Caenorhabditis elegans: one gene and its partner. The protein of the gene in region 2 purifies or fractionates together with the protein of the main gene of each other region. This does not show direct contact. Each region holds a gene or a part of one and is shown on either strand. Other genes may lie near its edges.

Region 1 (9,823 bases), on a different chromosome or scaffold from region 2:
ATGATCGAATTGCTCAAATGATGATGCCAGCAGCAATTGTGACTCGGCTCATGAAAGAAGACAATATTTCTGCATCAAAAGATGCTCGAGACGTCATCGCTCGTGCTGCAGCAGTGTTTCTCATAAACTTGTCCGACGTTTCGGCTCAATCTGCTCGCGATCAGAAGCACAAGACGATCTCAGGAGATGATGTTGTCAAAGGACTCCGAGAGCTTGAGAATACTTCTATTCACAATCATGTAATTATGGGTTTCGAAAGAGTTAAGAAATTAAAATTTCCAGTGCAAGTCCGCCAACGATAAATGGAAAGTTATTAGTCAGCAGAAGGCTCTCGCTCGTAAAAATCCAGTTGAATCCAGCTCTGTCAATGCTGAAATGGATGACGACATTATTGACGATACTCCTGTCGATGGTTAGTTCTATTCTTTAAATCTGAAGTTTATCTGAATAATTTATAATATTGCAGATTCATTGATGAACTGATCACTCATAACCAACTCATTCCTGCTCAAAACGATCCTTCCTGTAAAATCTCATTCCGATTCTCAACGCGTGTCCCACTTTTGTCTCTAACATTTCACTTTGATAAACAATTTTGGCCAATAGTTTATTGAATGTACAAAACCCCGAAAAAAAATTAAAGCGATCTGAATGCCCCCGAAAAAGTGCCCATAAATAAGTGAATCGGCATGATCAATAAAATAGCGAAAAATGAGAATTGAATAATTGCACGAAGTTTGGCGAATCCATTGTCTGGAACTCGAAAGTCTGCACCAGAGGTAGCTGATCTCTTCCACATCACTTCCCAAGAATCGAATTTTTGCTCCTGTGTATTCTTCTTGAGCCGTATCAATTCATTGCAATTATTTGGGAATCCACGAGAAAGTTCAATAATTTGACGACTCAACTGCTCAGAATCATCGAAAAGATATCCATTAGTTTTCTCCTCAACGAGCTCATCAATACATTTGAATTTTAGAGCCAATGCTGGAACTTTAGCTCCAAACATATCAACAACTTTCATCGGAAGATCCAATCCAGACGTGCTTGTGTGCAAAGAGATTCCTAAGTCAGCAGAGGCTAGAATCTTTGGATAATCTTCTGCTTCCAACCATGGAGTCAATACATCGACATTCTTCAGATTTTTCTCGTGAATTTCTTGTAAATATTTCGCTTTCAGTGGACCTTTTCCAGTGATAATCATCAAAACTCGCGGGAGTCCGATTGTTTTGTCATATGCAACCAGCGCATCGAGAAGAATTTCAAACCGTTCATCAGGTGTCCAGGATGTGGAAGAGAGAAACACAATGGGTCGAGTTGTTAGTAGCTGCACTACTCCGTTCGAAGATTTATGAGTCAGAATTGTGGAGTCTTCGTCTTTTCCTTGTAGAATTCGTTCCTTTTGTGAAAGTCTTAGATACAAATCATGGATCTCTTGTATTGTTGTGTCTCTGAAAATTTCGAGATTAATTTTCAGAAATTTCACATTTGTTCAAACCTAAATTTCCACGTCGGCGGCCTATCATAGAATGTGCTGGCTCTGATGCCCCATCGATCCATGAGATCTCGACGCATGGCATTTGTTACACACAGATTATAATCGGATAGTTTTCCACATAGACCTTCTAGGAATCCAACACATCTCACAATTCTGAAAATGTAAATTGTTCAATACGAGTTTGATTTATTGTACAGACGCGAATGTTTTGGCTAAAATACGTTGCCCGGTCTCGGCACGACAAGTTTTCGTTAAATATGAAAGGTTATGCGCCTTTGAAGAGTACTATAGTTTCAAATTCGTTGCTGCAACAGTTTGATGTGATTTTTCCAGTTTTCGTAAAAAATATTTTTCATGGGATAAATTACAGTACTCTTTAAAGGCGTATGTCATTCTTCGTTTCACAAAGATTTGTCGTGTGGAGACCGAGTACCGACTGTTTTTTTTCGCGTCGGGGAACAATGCCGGTGTCCAATACTCACTGGGCTTTTTTGGTTTTTTTATCGTTTCCAAAAACTTGATCATCGGTCAATTGGTATTTATTTTGTAGAATTGAATACATGTAATTGTGCCAATCAATTGAGAATTTTGCGAATTTGAATATGGAAAACTGAAATTAAAGTTGATATTTTATAACGGTAGTCAGTAGAATCCTACCATGAAACAAACTATCATCGTCGGAAGCGCCGGCGGATTCTGCATAAGAATAATTCTTAAATTAAAGGCGCTTGTTTGAAAAGCGAGAGCCAAGAAAAGAGTTATAAAGTTCCAAAAAAGTTTCAGTGGAAGTTGCACGAAAGCTGGTAACGAATCCATGAAGTCAGGAGGTGGCGGGATTCCAACTATTCTGAAATTTTATTTATTTGGAAAAATTCTTTGGATGATTTGTAACTAAATTTATTTTTTTAAACGGAACAACTTTTTTGCAAATTTTTTAGATAAAAATTTTCTGAAACTCACTTTATCCTTGGATGATTCATAATTTGTTCTCCTGGAATAGAATCGAAAAATCCAATAAGTTTGACATCAAATCCTTCATCAGCGAGCATTTTTGCGTGATTACACATTCGTGGGCTTCTGCCGACATCACCAAGAACGACGACTGCGGCTTCACTTCTAAACTGTTATTTTCAGTAATTTTTAAAAATTTTTTGTTTTACCTCTCGTCTGGCGATTCGTCGTCTTCCTTTGCCATTGTACGCCTATGAAGATTCAATTTTTTAAGCTTGAATTATGGAAATTTCCTATTGCAAAAGTATAGACTACAAGGAATTTCCACCTATTTTCCAGTCCGTAAACGATAAATTCTAACGTCTGCTTTATTAAAATGAAAAAACTAGAAAAGGATCAAGTAAACAAAAAATGAATACAGAGATACGGTTCATCAAGGCAAGTAAAGCTCTCGTGAATTGGTATTGGCATTTGTTTTTAAAAAAATACGATAGATAAAAAACAACGGATATCGACGGGAAATTAGTTGGAAACATTGAGATGCAAAAAAGAATTTCTGTACGAGAATCATCATCAGACCACGACGTTGCAGATAAAATTATTTTTGAAAAATGGGAGGAGTAAAAAACGGGTAAAGATAGATAATTTGGAATGAAAAATGAACAGCAATAGGTGTTTGAATAACATTGCAAATTGAGGTAGCTTGAAAAAACAATGGATGTGTTAATTCAAGAAATTCAGACAACTTTCGCAAATGCTGGAACTTAAAATAACACGAGATAACAACAAAAACCATATATTAATGGACATTAAGATAGAAACAAATGTTGGAAAATGAGAGCTTATATTTTGCGACAGAGCCCGAACTTGTTGATTAAGAACATTTTTGTTAAAAACAAGAAAATAATTGTAAATGAAAATGTAAAGAGGCGACGATCGATTCCTTAGTTGAATAGCAGATCAGAACTAGGAATCATTGATAGCTTTAAGTTTTCCGACGAGAAGCTTCAGCTCTGCAATCGCTTCTTTTGATGGAATCTTGTGCTTGTGCCTAAATAATACAAATTATAATATATAATTTCTTTAATACTATACGAACCCATCGTCATGATGCTGACTATGACTTTTGCGTCCATTTGACATATCCTTCTTCAAATCGCTGAGAGTAACCGGTGGTGGAGTGATTGCAGTTGGGTAGGTCGGCGAGCTGGCTATATTTATTGGTGATAATGAATCATTGACAACATCTATTGGAGAATCATCTTCAATTGAGTGACGATTAATGGACGACGTGTTCGGGAGCCAAGAAGACTGAAAAAATAAGAAAAATGTTTGCTAAAAATTGCATCAAAATCTTACTCTTGAAGGTGTTACAGTAGTCGGAGTGTATGGTGTATCAATAGATGAATTACGAGAAGAGTTGAAATCAGGTATGAAACTCGGACGACGTTCAGATGAGATCGAGGAGTGACGTGACGAGGGAGCAGATGCTCCCTCAGCAATCATCTTATCCTGACGAGACATTGCAGGCATATATACGCCCTTTTTCATTGCCGATCCTGCATCACTGCTTCGCCGTTCGCTCGACATGTGTTTTCGTAACTGATATTCGTTTGTCGATGAGACCATTGCTGGAGATGAAAGTTTTGGTTTTTGATGATGGGATGGTGATGGAGTTGGAGCAGCGTTCGGACTGGGACGATATTCTTTGTGTTCTTTATTTCTTGAAGACGATGGAGTTTCATATGTGTCAACACTAATTGCCTCATCTGGAATTAAATTGATTTTTTGAATTTTAAGTACGAAAATTTCAAATAAGACTTACATTTAGCTCTTTTAGTTGGAGGCTTCTGTCCATCGTAATGATCATTATTTGCTTCATTTATATCATCAAAAGTCGTGAAAACTGGAGTACTGTGCTCTGGTTCCATACTTTGCTCGCGGCTTTGACTTCCTTCCTCACTTCCTCGTTTCGGCTCAATCTTGTAGAGATTCTTTTCAATATGAAGTTCGACGTTCTTAAAATAGTTAATATTAAAATTGAATGAACAAAACAGATAAAAACTCACATTTTTCGTTTTTCTGTATGCTGACTTGAGCTGTCCAGTTCCAAGCTTCATCATCTCCATTCTGGGATCATAGTTATACGGATTTGAAACAACTGGATCGATTTGAATAGATGAAGTTGGAAGTCCACCAACAAATGCCGGCTTCTCTGGCTTTTTCTTTTTAGATTTGCTCGATCCTCCTCCATGAGCAGCTCTGAGCTCTGCATCGAGTTGACTTTCCAATTCAATACGTTCTCTCTCCTTCTTCTTCTTTTCCTTCGAAATTTTGTCTTTCTTACTCTTCGAATTCCTTCTCTTCTCGTCTTTTTCAACTTTCTCCATCTTTTCCTTTTTGTCCTTCTTTACTGACACTTCTTCTGATTCATCATTTTTAGCACCTGAACGTCTTGAACTAGAACGTCTTGTAACTGGAGTTGGAGTATATTCTTCGGCTTGATATTCATCTTCTTCTTCCTCCTCTTGATCTTCCGGCTCTTCGGCATCGTATTCCTCTTCCTCCTGATCATCACGTTGCCCAATTCCTTCATATTCCTCCTCAAATTCTTCTTCAAAACCATTAATATCCTCTTTAATTTCATCTTTGGGTGCAGGAAGATATTCGAGAGGTCCTGATGATGGTTGTTGAGGCAATATAATAGGCTTATCAGTCACTTCCGATTCTAAAAGCTCATCGGGAAAGTTATCAACTTTGAATCTTGTGCTTCTTCTCGCAGATTCTTGTGGTACTTCTTGCGTCGGCTGGAAGTCATATTCACCGGTTTCCATGGTGGATCGAGTCTGAAAGTTAGATTTTCAACCAATTGCAATAATTTTCAGAAATAATAACAATATAAAAACTTACATATCTTCGAGGCATTATCTGGTTGAATTCAAATTTCTTCCCTGTCTGAAAGTCAAAACAATTAAAATTTAAAAAAAAAACAATTTGCACACTTTAAACGATAGTGAGAAGTATGAAGACTTGGGCAACTACAAAAAAAAAAACATTTTGAAAATTTTAATGCAGCACAAAAAGGAATTTATTCTCGACGCAAATTAATAATTAGTATTAGAATTGTTATATCTTTTTGTGAACGGATTATTAGAAAATTTACAGATTATGAGATTATAATAGTGAGATAGTGAAGGAGATTGAACGTGTCGGTGTATGTGGTATGAGTCGATTGACTTTAGTTCGGCTGAAAAATTAGGAAACTAGCATTATTCGCCACTAAGTAGTGGAAATTTGAAAAAAAAAGACAGATGGATCTTTGCGAGATATTTACAAAATTATGAGTGCCCCGGTTGCAAATTATTAAACAGACTGTAAGAGATCATTCGATCGTCTTTTAGAATCGCGCGTTTCGCAGTACAATTACCGGCTGTAACAATGGATGTGACAATTAGATGTGGCAAGTGACATTAACAATAATTTTACACAAAAATAGAGCACTAAATGTAAATAAACTTAGTGTTAGTGTAACTAAAAATTATCGAAATAAACGTTTGTTCAGGGCAGAAAAGAATAACAGCTCATCAAACAATTTTTCAATTATACCTAAAAAAACCTAGATCAGATAAGTTTTTCTCACTATGCCAATAGCCTGCAAAATAATACGACAGTTTGAGGCCATAGAGACGCATGCAGAACGAGATGAAGAGGGCGATAGAGACGCAGGCGTTTCAACAGTCTTTCACTTCTCACTATCTACTACTTTCAACAATGTTTATCGGTCTTTTTGACTTACCAATTCAGAACGTCTTTTTTTCAAAACAGTTTGGAATGTGTTAATGAGAGACGCTGGCTGGCATATTCCTTCAGCCACTTCGACACGTGCTTTTCGACGAATATAAGTGCCAAGAGTTTCAAGTTCATCCAAAAGTCGAGGGGATATCCTAGAAATCTCATCATCGTTAAAGTAGATTGGCGGCTCGTGTCCAATTGGAAGTTTGTGGTCCGGCACGCATTTATTTCGAACAAAATCGTGCGTCTGAAAAACATGTAAATTTCGAGAGGAAACTTCATTGAATTCGATAAATTCTTACACGGTTCTTGTAGAAAATTAATGAATTTGAATTAGCTAGTTCATCGATTTCAGCATCGCGTCGAGCATCCATTTCTTCTGAAATTCATCAATTTTATTACTGTCGTGTTTAAATCTCCTTACCTTTAGTTTCTTGATACTTGACTTCATCTTCGTCAGCTTCTTCTTCAAGACCCGTGTCAGCTGAAAACGTTGCTTTGCTGACCATAGGATAACCAAATAGTGAATTCTCCGCGTGCATTGCAATCACTTTAACTTCTGAAAATTTCGATTTTAAAATCATATAAAAGAGAGAAAAATATTAAAAAGATCAAAGAAACCATTTTAAATTAGTCATTCATTCTTTTTTGACATTAAAAAATAAAAAATACTCTACCATCTTTTGTGGATTCCTCGTCTCCTTTAATCATATCGTTTGTCAATTCAACTCCAGTTTCGTAATCTGAGTATTCGATTTTCTTATGATGGCCACCAGCGGTTTTCCATTTGTCTCCAACATAGTCATATTTTGCATCTTCGATTCGAAGTGGTCTCACATATTCTCTTCCTGTCCATTGTTTTACATAATCAGCTATAACGTAGAAAATAAGTTCTTCATTGTACGGTAAGCGAAATTTTCTAGTGATCTGAAATGTTTCAAATTTGTTATTTACAAGTCTTCTGTAAAAACTCACATTCAACTTATTTTCAACTTGATAAACTCTTAATTGTGTTTTGCATGATTGTGAGTGAAGAAAATTGCCTCCAAAAACGAGACTATCATCTGGAGTATATACGGCATGAATCCATCCACTTGGAATTAGCATCGTGTCTCCTGGCTCCAAGATAGCCACGTGGCACTTTTCGACCGACTTTCCAAAGAACGCATTATCGTTGACAGTTTTAATAAATTCTTGATAAATAAAAAAGTTGGTTTCGGTTGGTGGAATCAACCAAAAGACTTTACGACCTTTCAGTACATGATACCACACAGATGTTCCACTAAAATCAATGTGAAAATCTGTATAACAGTTCGCTACGCTCATCAGGCAGTAGTTTTGAACTTTTGGAAAAGTATGATGCGGATTGTAGAATTTTTTGTCTCTTCCGTTGAATGAGATCCACCTCTGGCGCAGAGCATCTGGCCACTGGTTTCCAACCCAGTCGATTTGACGAACAAGTTCTGGAGATTTTACGAGATCTTCTAAGGGAGTTTGGGAAAATTCTAGAGATAGAACATTGTACAGTACTTCTCGTTTTTCTTGTGGCGTTCTGGAAAATGAAGTTTGATTGGTGTTTAATACTAATTTGTAATTACTCACTTGTAGAAGTTTATAAATTCCTGTAACGACATTTTCACACTTCCTTGATTCTGGACTTGAACAACTTCTATCATTCGATTTCCGCCTACCAGTTCGAGGACATCATCCACTGAGAAATCTGGTGAGGGAAGTCTGTAAAAATATTTATTTTTACAATTAATTGGAAAAATCAATACTCACGTCATTCCTATTCTTTTTGGATCACATCGGAAATGTATCGGGTTGTCAAGTCCATTTTTGTCGTAGAACTCCAAATTTAAAGCTTCTGGGTCCATTGTATGTACAAATTCGGGATGTTGGAAAGACGGATCATTCATCAGAGCTTCGAAATCAAAATTCACACATCGTTGAAGTGACGACTTATCGAATCCAGTAGTTTCTTCACCTTCTGAAGCACTATGTTCGTGCTCTGAACTTGACTCTTTCCTAGCCTTCTTTGCGCCCTTTTTACCGTTCGCTGGCGTTTTTCCATTTGATTTCCGTTTCGGCGGCATCTAAAATAATATATTTTATTAGAATCATAGGAAAATGGTTAGTTATGATACAAAACTGTCATAAAGTTGGCGTAACTACGGTAAATCAATTAAAGACTTGAACGCAGAGAACGGAGTTTTTCTCAGGACATTTTCAAGCGATTAATTAGATTAACTTTCGAGATTCTAATGGCTTTTAATAAAAGAAAATGTAAATTAAGTACCCAAAAAAAGTTTCGTGAACTGCTTGAATTAAAGGTACATGGAATTTTCGAAGGGTCTCAAACGGAACACAGTGATTTTAAAAAATCGATCGATTTGTCGGTTCTTATTTATTTAATTTTTTGGACTTTTTTCATCTTATTTTTGAAAACTGTTTCTAATTGTTTTGATTGAAGCGTTAATAAGACCGAGTAAGGAATTATCTTTAAATAAATTGACAAATTTTGAACATAATTTTCCGCACTACGATGAAAAAAGTTAAAATTTGATTATTTTTGCTTTTAAATGCTTCTTAAAAGCAATAAGAGAGAAATACACATTCAAAACATTAAAGCAAAAAGCGTGCAAAAATCGAAATAGAAACTATGGGCAAGGAACGGAAAAGGCGCAAGCTGGACCACTGGCGTGTTCGACGCAAGCCGTTTCTCTCTCTGCGACTCTCCTCACCCTCACCCCATAGTGCATTCCTGTTTGTTGTTTGATCGTATAACCAGCCTCCTTTCTTTTCACTCCCTGATTTCACTATTTCTTCCTCTTTTTTACTATTTATTCCATTAAAATACAATTCTGGGTTTTCAAGGTCAATATTTCTTCCTTATTCCTGATAATTCGTATCGATTTCCCCTGACATCCTTTCTGGCCTACAATTATGTGGCGTTGTGACGTAGACCGCTGAATTGACAAAACAGTCGAAAACGAACGGGTGGACGGCACCATTCTTTGTTTGCTGCTCAATCTTACAACGACTAAACTTTTTATCGATTTAGCGTTTTATCGACCGCAGCATAAATAGGAAGGGAATGGAATAGAATATACCGATCGTTTTCTAATTACCCATTCATAATCGATTAGCTGCCAGCATCAATAAACCAGCGGCTGCATCTTCTTATGTCATTCAGATTCTCGACACCGATTCGATGTTCTTTTTTTCAGCATATCTTCTTCGTCGGGCTCTCATGTAGTCGCATTGAAGAATGACAAACTGCATTTTTTATGCGATGACACTCTTGTGCACGATGTTGCCATCGATTTGTTGCTCTGTTTCTCATAGTTGTTTTTTTTCAATTCAGTCAAAATTAATAGATCAATAGGACATCTAAATTTAAAATTCCAGTTGGTATAATATTTAAAATATAAATAGAAACATTAGTCATGCGCATGGCGTCAAAATTTATCTAAATTTTAATCTTTGAGTATCTTTTCTGTTTAATTTTACGAGCCCAATAAGTGTATCTATTATTACGGAAATATACATTTTAAAGTTCAATTCCATAATTTCAATCCA
Region 2 (9,823 bases):
AGCAATTTTTGAAAAAATTTTGAAAAACAATTTTAGGAAAAAATTATGAAAAATCACATCAGTTACATTGATTATACGTACGGTACATTCGATTTCCTGGCGTATGATAATAGTTGCATTAAACCGAAATCAGATTAAGAAACATTGAACTAGTAATTGTAAAAATTAGCATGCAATCTAGAAAATTAGGAAATCTGAAAATTATTAAAGGTGGAGTAGGGCCAATGGAGTAAGTGTTAAAAAATACTCCTATGGTGCCAAAGTGACAAATAATCATAATAAAACTTTTCAAAACTTTTTTGAAAAATTTTTATTCACTGTCAAAAAGTGTTCAATATTCAGTTTTTGCCACTCATAATTTTGGAAGTCGACCAAAAAAAATTATTTTTCCTACATTTTTTATACTGTAATTTTGTTTCAATTATTTTTGTTGAATCATTGTAAAGACCGGAATATGCGACATTGCTTTGGATGTCCTCAAAAGCTCATATTTGTCAAAATTTTGGTAATGTGCCAAAACTTTGACCGAAATTAGGGAAAATCTAAAAATTTTTGTAGTTTTATTATGATATTCGGTCGTTTGAAATCATAATAAGCGTATTTAGACAAAATCCCCATTGACGCTACTCCACCTTTAAATTTTTGAAATTTCGTGTACTTCCTTCAAATTTGTTTAATCATCAACCCGATGCGTCTATCCTTCGTTATCAACAAATTGTAGGTGTCTGTGTCAAGAACTATTGTATCTCGTACAATCGAAAAACCAGTTCCTTCATTTTCAAAACGCTCCCTTATTTTCTTTGTTATCAACAATTCGATTTGTAAAAACGGAACCACATCGATTGTTGTCTCTTGTTATTACATCAATTCCTACACCATTTTCAGTCAAAGTGTGGATATTTTCTGAAAACTGAGCGATTTCAGCCAAATATTTGCCTGTTTTTCATTTTTCAATAAAACTTTGCCATGTTTTCAATCGTGCCCATTGATCTTTAATGAATTCTTTTTCGGGAGAATGTGTAGGTTATTTGTTAACCACCAACTCAATTTTGAACATTTTCCTGTTGACCAAACTTTTGATATTTGCCAAATCTTAGTTATGTAGGTGGGACGAAGATTCTTAAGTAAATATTGCTAGGAATTTGAGTATAAAATAGGAAAAGATCATTCGAGAATTGAAGTTTTCTTTTTGGTTTCTGCTTTTAATTGGCATTGGCTAGTAATATTATTCCACTCTCATTGATCATTAACGGGTAAAAAAAATTGTATTTTTTCAGACAATGCTAACTGCAATTACGATTTCCACCATTTTCATAACATTTTGCTTTGCTCAACAGCAGACAGATTGTTTTTCCGCTCGCGATACTGGAAATTCTGGATGTGGTCAGCAGGGAGCCCGCTCATTTTATTTCCACAAGAATACCCGCACATGTCAGCCATTTTTCTATCAGGTACTGTTTTTTCCAGTAGTCCTTTAGCATACTACCTATATTAGGTTTAGGTTTAGGCTTAAGCTTTGGTTTAGAGTTAGGCTGACAAGGGAAGCCTTTCAGCTCGTCCTCGGACTTCCGAATGAAACCTATTATAATTGAAAGAGGACCTTAATAGAAGGTCACTCCAAAATTTTTAGTCTCGGAGGAGGCTTACTAGGGAACCGTCAGAAGGTGCCCATCGGACTTGCATATGAGACCTATGCCATTCGATAACCCATGTCTTAAAACGGTTACTCGTGAATTTTTAGCTGCGAATCTCCAGAACCAAGCTCACGGCGAGCTCTCAAAGATCTTAAAATAGCACTGTAACGAAGCTTTGAAAGGTCAATTTTCCAAATTCACTTTGGTAGCTCATATCTCCGCCGATAAATTTTTTACAGAAAAGTCATCAACTAAAAAGTTGTTGATATTGTTGTAAAGAACAAGTTTTTAGTTAAATCTGAAACAACAATTTTTTTGATAAAAACTTTCAACTACAAGTTTTTATCAAAAAAATTTTTAGTTGATGACTTTTCTGTAAAAAATATATCCACGGAGATATAGGCTACCAAAGTGAATTTGGAAAATTGCTTCTTTTCATCGTTACAGTGCTTCGTTATAGTGCTATTTTAGAATCTTTGAGAGCTCGCAGTGACCTTGGTTCTGGAGATTCGCAGCTAAAAATTCACGAGTAACCGTTTTAAGACATGGGCTATCGAATGGCATAGGTTTCATATGCAAGTCTGATGGGCACCTTCTGATGGTTCCCTAGTTAGGCTTAGGTTTTGTCATAGGCTAAGGTTAGGCTTATGCCCAGGCTAAGGGCCATACTTACGGTATATTCTTAGCTTGTGCTTGAGCTGATGCTAGGAATATACCTTATCTTCTCACAAACGGAAATTTCTCGTTGAATTTAACAGAATAGTATACTTCTTGGAAAAACGTTCAATTAAAATGAATAAAACAATTTTAGGGATGCGACGGCAACTCCAATCGATTCCAATCGAAAGAGGCTTGTGAATCAGCTTGCCGGAACGCGACTGCTTCTGACGATTTAGCTTACGGTTAGTTGAACAATGGATGACAAAGGTGTATAATAGTTTTTCAGCTGTATGTCCATCTGGAGCATACCCAGCTGGAGCCACTTCTGGTCAGACTGTTGGATGTTCGAATTGCCCACATGGTTACGAGTGTCAAAATCAACAATGCTGTCCAACAAAAGGTTACTATTTTCTGAAGAGATTTTGAAAAGTTATAGTGATCTTTAAAACACAAGTTTAAAGCGGTTTGTACTTTGTCTGAACACTGGTGTTTTAGAACTAAAAACTCTGTTTCGATGTGTAAATATTTATTCAAATGTGAAAGAAGCACAACAAAAGATCGAAGAAATTTGCAGAAAACACATGTAGTTTGCAGTACGACGCTGGAAAATTCGGATCTAGTGGAAAACATACACCCAGGTAAGAATTCAACTAATTTTTATTGTACTTTCACGGATTCAATAAATTAAATTTCAGATATTTCTTCTCAAAGTCCTACAAGAACTGCATGCTGTTCACTTTCTATGGCCGCGATGGAAATGCTAACAACTTTGCTACGTACAACGAATGCAAAAACTTTTGCATGTAACATTTTAGCAAATAACAGTAGTTTTCTTAATGTATATAAATATTTCAAACGAAAACAATTTATTTTGCACAAAGACCTATATAAATGAATCATGCAAGTTGATAAAAATTACCAAAAAATCAAGTAAAGACGTGTTTAAATATCTTAATACTAGTTCAAAATAGATATTATTTACAGTAATATCACGGAACAGAGAAACTGGAATATCATAATAACTTCTTGCCACGATTTTAGTGGATAATCAATACATATAAGTACGAATAAACATAGTCATGTACTATATTACGTTAATTGAAAATTTTTCGGTAGCATTTCTAGTTTTATAGTTATACTTATTTGAAAAATTAGTGAAATTATCAAAAAACTAAAAGTGGATATCTTTTCGGCCAGCACTGTAATTGAATGTATTGTTTTCGCAGTTTTTTTAAAAATCATTTTTTATTTTGTTACTTACATTCGAGCGCACCCTTCAGATGTCTGCCGAAATAGCTTTTCTAAAAACTTGTGAAATTGAAAAGAGTTCAAATTTTCGTTGCAAAATCTTTTAATACATTCGGATTAAGAAGAATTTGTGTAAAACAAAAATGCTCAGTTTTCAATGTTTGCATGTTTTGAACAAATGCCTTGTTTAATGTTCTTAAAATCTTTTAAAACCAAAAACTCAAAGTATCAAACGCTATTGAAAACATTTATGTAGTTTAATTCATTCCTTGTTTCAATGCTTCATTCATTGTTTTCTGATCATCCAAAATGTTTGCTTCTTGCGTTATTCGATCATAAAAATAAAACGGTTTCAAAAAGTTCCGCTCGAGGCCAATTTGCAGCAGAGGAAGATGGAAGTGCACGCGCATCGAAGCAGTTTACAACTTCTCATGAAAGTGGAATCAAGACACATCCGTGGAAAATGATTCAGTTGAAGCTACAATTGTGTGAAATTAACGCCTACAAGACAATCTAAACAATCAGAATTGAACTTTCAAGATGTTTTCTTTCCTTTAGACAAAGTTTGTAAAATACTCAATTTTGTTCTATAGTAATTTTTGATAATGCTGTTTTAGGAGTTTCTGTCAATTTCAAAATGCTTCGTCTTCTTATTTTGCCAACAATATTGATAATACCTTTCTCAAATTCATGCATGACAACTTATCCAGCAGACACTCCTATTATGTAAGTTTCATTATTGTTGCCTTAAAATAATATATATATTCCTAAAGAACGCAACCTCCATCTCCAGATTCACCATCATCTTCCAATGGCTCCAGCACCAGTCTTAGCGAAAATTTGAATAACAACTCCGTTTCTAACCAAATCGAATATGTTAATCAAAATAATAATAGTGATAATTTTACAGTCGGCCTAGGATTTTTAGGGGCTTCTGGAAACTATGGAAATTATAGTTCACATTTGAATAATAACCTTTCTATTAGTCAAAATCAAAGCGTTTCCCTAAATTCTTCAAGTTCTAGTGTAGGAGCTGGGTTAACGCCTGGAAACGGATCAGTGGGTAGCACATCCAACTCCAGCTCGGCAGCTAGTTCAATTCAAAACATAGGTTTAAACAGTAGTCTGATCAACTCTAACACTAATAATTTGTCAAGTTCTAGTCATAGTATGTCAGGATCGAACAATAATAATAGTAATAATAACGTGGTTAATAATTATTTGACCGTTTATGGTAATAATGGAAGCTCTGGAGGTGGTTCCGGAAGTGGAGGTGGAAGTGGACCGGGAGCTGACTCACCAAGAATTCATTGCTGCCGTCCATGTTGTCCATATAGTCATCACCGTCGGTTGTGTGATCCTTGCTACTGCTCCAATCGACCAGAGTCACACCGAGATTCTTCTTCGTCCGAAGAAGTAAACGATGCGCAAAGTGATGAAAACACTTATTTCCAATGTAAGTAAAAATCAACTTTAGGAGTAATTTTTAACATTTGAAAAAAATGTTTCGATTGCAGAATATTTTCCATTTGTTACTCCACCTCTCTCTTTCTCTCTCTCTCTCTTAAATACTAACTCCTGTTGTTGCATTACTATTTTTCAGTACACTAATTTTTAGAGACTATAAAAATCATCATAATTTTTCTGATAGCGTTTTTTGTTGAATGGGTAAAGTATCCCTGTTAACCAAATTTAAAAACTTCAACACTTAAAATTGTCACTGGGAACCATTTCCTATCCACAAAAATTTCCAACGACACTACTGAATTCTCTCACTTGAAAGAGTTTCAGATATGTAACTTATAAAAAGTTTTCCCGTTCATACTGTTATCATTAACTTCCCCTGTTAATAACGCTTTAAAATGTTATGTTTCAGTTGACTTCATTGGAGTGGACGGACATCATGCTCGGCGAGTTTTACCTCCGAGTTGGAGGATTCTACGTAATTCGAAAGCTGAATCATCTGATGAATCGTCTTTAAGTGGTGAACAAAGAAGACCATGTGAAAACCGACGGCATAATAAATTTAGATGCCGTTCAAACTGTGGATCTTCCGAAAATTCCTCAGAAGAAAATACGTTGTGTCTATTCGATAGATGCAGAAGAAATAGAAGGTGCGGTGCTTTTCATAGATGTGCTCATCTTCCATGTTGTAAATTTGGAGGGAAGAAGTGCATGTTGGAATGCATCAGATCTAGCTGCCTTCCTAGATATGTAGAATGTCATCGAAGGCGGCGTTGTTCAAGAAAACAAAGATGTCACACAACAACACAACCACCAAGCCCCACGACAGAATCACTTCCAACTTCTACAACAACCTACGAAATGAATACAACGTCATTGGAAACTTCAACCACTGATATATCAACAATTACATCAACGGAAGAACCCATCAGCACAACGGTGAAGACACATGAACAATCGTCCACTTCCGGCATGGAGTTTTCCACGATGTCGACAACTTATGAACCAATAACAACGACTTTGGAAACTTCAACGACTGATATTTCAATAATTACATCAACAGAAGAACCAGACACCAGCACGACGACGGAGTCGAATGAACAATCGTCCACTACCGGCATGGAGTTTTCCACGATGTCGACAACTTATGAACCAATAACAACATCTTTGGAAACTTCAACCACTGATATGTTAACTAATACATCAACAGAAGAACCTGACATCAGCACGACAATAGAGCCAAATGCACAATCAACTACTTATGAAATGGAGTCTTCTACTGTATCGGTCACATATGAGCCAGAAACAACATCTTTAGAAACTTCAAGTACTAAAGTATCATCCACAACAGCAACGGGTGAACCTGCCAGTACGACGATGGAGGCGAATGAACATTCATCCACGTTTGAAACTGAGTCTTCTACTGTGCCAGCTACTAATGAACCTATAACAACGTCATTTATCCCTTCAACTACTGATCTATCAATTATTACTTCAACGGAAGAAGCAAAAATCAGCACGACAATGGAAACAGATGAACTATCAACCACAACGGAGTCAAGCTACTCCACAACTCAGTTTACAACCTTCAAAATCCCAACATCCTCATTTTCGACGCTTCCTATGGAAGGAACTTCTACAAAGGAGCAGACTACTCTGTCTACAGAAGAAACATCTTCAGCCACAACAGCGACCATTTTTGAAAAACTTTCTACAACTCTATTCTTTGAAGAAACACAAGTAACATCAACGTCTGACTTTACATCGTCTCCTAGAAGTATTGAAACAACACGTGTCATAGAGTTCGATACTTCAACGGAACTGCAAACGACTTCCAAAACCTCTACCACTACAGAAGATACAACAACAGTGGGGACGACAACTGAAATGGAGATGAGAAGATTCTGGAGACTATTCGGATGACCGGATATATTTTATTTCTTGATATGTTTCTGTTTTGAGTATTTGATTTCGGGTAAATGAATGGGTTACATTATATATTTTTTGAAACTATTTAACAAAACTAAATAAATTTTGAAAAACTATTCAAAGTTCTCTGTTCGCTCACTACAACTCATGTTCTATCATAATCATATACGTTTGTTTTCTTCAATTAAAAAATTCATTCCTTAAGAGCATCACTTGAAATTAAAGATCTGTTTAAAATATTGTCGGTACGGTTTTTGAAGATAAATCATCAAAACGGTAGATGAAACACCATGTAGGGAGATTATATTACGTGCTAAATTTCCACTGCCTTGGTCGGAAATGTTATATGCTCCCATTATAGCCAACCAAGCAGAAGGTAGAACTACGAATAGTAGTGGTATTAAAATCTTAAAAAAAAAGAAAAAAATGAAAAAAAAAAAATTGAAACACAGACCTGTAATTTTATGGATTTCACGAAATCCCGTTGTAGTTGTAAAGTTTTATTGGACACGATCATTTTTCTTACTGCCCAGTTCATATTCACTTGTAGCAATGTTCCGAACACTATCATTTCAATAATTATAATTATCGTAAAAACTCTTTGAGAGTACACTGGGATCCACGGAAAATCGAGAGCCATAACGAATATAGGATTTTCAGGCGAATCAAATTGAATAAGCTCAGGATGTACCATAAATAATTGTTGCCTTGGAAGATATTGGTCAGGCATAGCATAATAAGTTGGAAGATAAAATGCCACTCCAAAGGTGATGTTGAACACTTTGAACGGGTATCTGACATGCCGCCACCAAGTTTTCTCTGCGAAGAGCACGAAGAAGCGGTTCTCGAATAACTGAACTGTGGATATTGCACAAACTGAAAATAATTTGAAGAATCTGGTTTTTTGTGGTTTTTGATGGAGGTTTTACGGTTTTCGGTTACAAGGTAATTAAATGAAAATTTCAACCTACATGCTGCAATAGTCATTCCAAAATAAATTTGAGCTCCCGTCCCTATACCTATCATGTGTAAAAACCCTAAAGGAATTCCGGCCATTGTAGTAGAGAAAAGGTATGGTTGACCCACACAGGTCATAATCATATCATATGCCATAGACCACATCAGAAAATTTAGCAGATGAAGTTTTGTAGAACACATTGTCGGTGGAGTCTTTGCGATAATACAGTATACGCCAAATAGTTGAACTGGTAGTGATATCACAGCTATCGAGTACTGAATTGTTGAGTAAACGGGAATCGAGCCAAAAAATTTCAAGAACATGTCTGTTTTGAGATAGAAAAGAGAATGCATCAGAAAACTGAAGCCATTTTATGAAGAAATATTTGAAGGTGGTTATTATACGAAGCACATGATGTGTATAACCAATAGTTTCACATAAGTGAAAATTATGAGCGAATAATAAAAAAGAAAGAGGAAACTAACCCTACAACGCAGATTTATGGGGGTGTGATCAAGCTGGAAACAATCTTCGACCGTTTGCGAGTCGCGGTGTTGCTCATTGTGCCCGATTCCGCTGACAATCGTATGTCGAGTAGGCCAATTCTGCAAAAATCCTGGTGGACAGACACCTCAAAAATTAAGTGTGAATATGGGCTGAAAGACTAATTTTCATGGTATGTAGTTTGTCAAGGCGCAAGACTACTAATAAAGGCTACTATTATAAAGAATACTAGAAGCTGCACTTATAGAGGAAATATCTCGACATTTGGCTTCAGCTTCTTGCCCAAGTTTGGCCAGAAAAATATTAACTTGGAACAGAAGTTGGCTAAACTTGGGCAAAAGTTGGGCAAGACTCTGGCAAAACTTGGATTTATGCTGCGCCAAAGTTTAACCCAAGTTTGACCCAACTCTTGTCAAATTTTTGTCCACATTTAAAGCTAAAAAAGGAAAGTTCGGGCCAAGCTTGGGTTTAACTTTGGCGCAGCTTAAATCCAAGTTTAGCCAACGTCTTGCCCATCTTTTTCTCAAGTATATCCAACTTCTGACCCAAGTCAATATTTTTCAGGCCATACTCGAGCAAGCTCTGGAATCAAATGCCGAGTATTGTATACCTATGCAAGAAGTTTATCAAAGCTTAACTGATCAATAACCCATATTTAATCTATATTTTCATTTTTAATACGCCGAACTGTCTAAACTAAATTCTTATCAACAGTACTCTCTTTCTCTAAATCTCTATTACTAAAGAAAACTGCGCCTCTCCGCCGTTATCTGCTGAATGTCTCTGAGTCTCTCAGTTTGTTAAGTCTTATTTGAGATAGATTCGGTATTTGTCGTTCTTTAAAACAGTAAAAAGATTGCGAGACGATAGTTTTTGAGGTTCTTCTCTTCCGTTTTCTCTGCACTCTCGTCAGTTTTGTGGGTCACATGTGTGCTATTTTGCGATTATTAAGCATTTTTTATTTTAATAAAAACAATTTTTTGGACATTGGTTTTTTTCCGACCTTATTCATATTTTCCTTTTTAAGTTTTCAGGTTTTCTGTGACAAAAATGTGGACATGATTGTATATTCGCTATTACTACTAATTCTGTATGATTTTCTTCCAAAAGTCGTTACTTTTGATACTGTCTGCATTGGACTATGCCACTGTGTTGGCAATGTTGTCGACTGCTCTTCACTCGATTTATCGGAAATACCAACGACGATACCTAATAACACAAGAATTTTACTACTCTCTGATAATGAAATAGAATCGATTGATAAATCGCGACTAAAAGGATTTTATTTTTTGCAAACCTTGTAAGTTTTTTGAGGGATATCAGTGTTTTTGAATGAAATACTAAAGTAAAGTAAATTGCTAAAAAAACATTAATATGGGTGAAGAGCTAAAATAAAAATAATTTTTGAGTTTCCTATTTTTGAATT

The links.
Region 1: the proteins of crmb-1 (region 2) and algn-1 fractionate together in Caenorhabditis elegans (co-fractionation; one large-scale study listed by BioGRID). This does not show direct contact.

What each region holds. Positions count from the first base shown.
Region 1 is NC_003281.10:6,452,997-6,462,819, reverse strand, and holds algn-1 (Chitobiosyldiphosphodolichol beta-mannosyltransferase), read right to left. Parts: upstream 2,701-9,823; 5' UTR 2,694-2,700; coding exon 2,659-2,693; intron 2,615-2,658; coding exon 2,459-2,614; intron 2,346-2,458; coding exon 2,156-2,345; intron 2,109-2,155; coding exon 1,981-2,108; intron 1,652-1,980; coding exon 1,499-1,651; intron 1,452-1,498; coding exon 638-1,451; 3' UTR 598-637; downstream 1-597. Other genes in the region: pole-3 (DNA polymerase epsilon subunit 3), read left to right, coding at 1-239, 283-412, 467-483; jhdm-1 (JmjC domain-containing histone demethylation protein 1), read right to left, coding at 3,416-3,500, 3,549-3,760, 3,809-4,218, 4,275-4,467, 4,519-5,295, 5,360-5,404, 6,246-6,488, 6,544-6,620 and 5 more.
Region 2 is NC_003282.8:265,171-274,993, forward strand, and holds crmb-1 (Serine/threonine-protein kinase), read left to right. Parts: upstream 1-4,236; coding exon 4,237-4,268; intron 4,269-4,315; coding exon 4,316-4,998; intron 4,999-5,418; coding exon 5,419-5,526; intron 5,527-5,572; coding exon 5,573-5,656; intron 5,657-5,706; coding exon 5,707-6,929; downstream 6,930-9,823. Other genes in the region: T21D12.12 (BPTI/Kunitz inhibitor domain-containing protein), read left to right, coding at 1,281-1,451, 2,446-2,536, 2,581-2,694, 2,869-2,932, 2,990-3,101; srh-282 (Serpentine Receptor, class H), read right to left, coding at 7,145-7,342, 7,390-7,811, 7,907-8,093; Leucine-rich repeats and immunoglobulin-like domains protein sma-10, read left to right, coding at 9,456-9,697.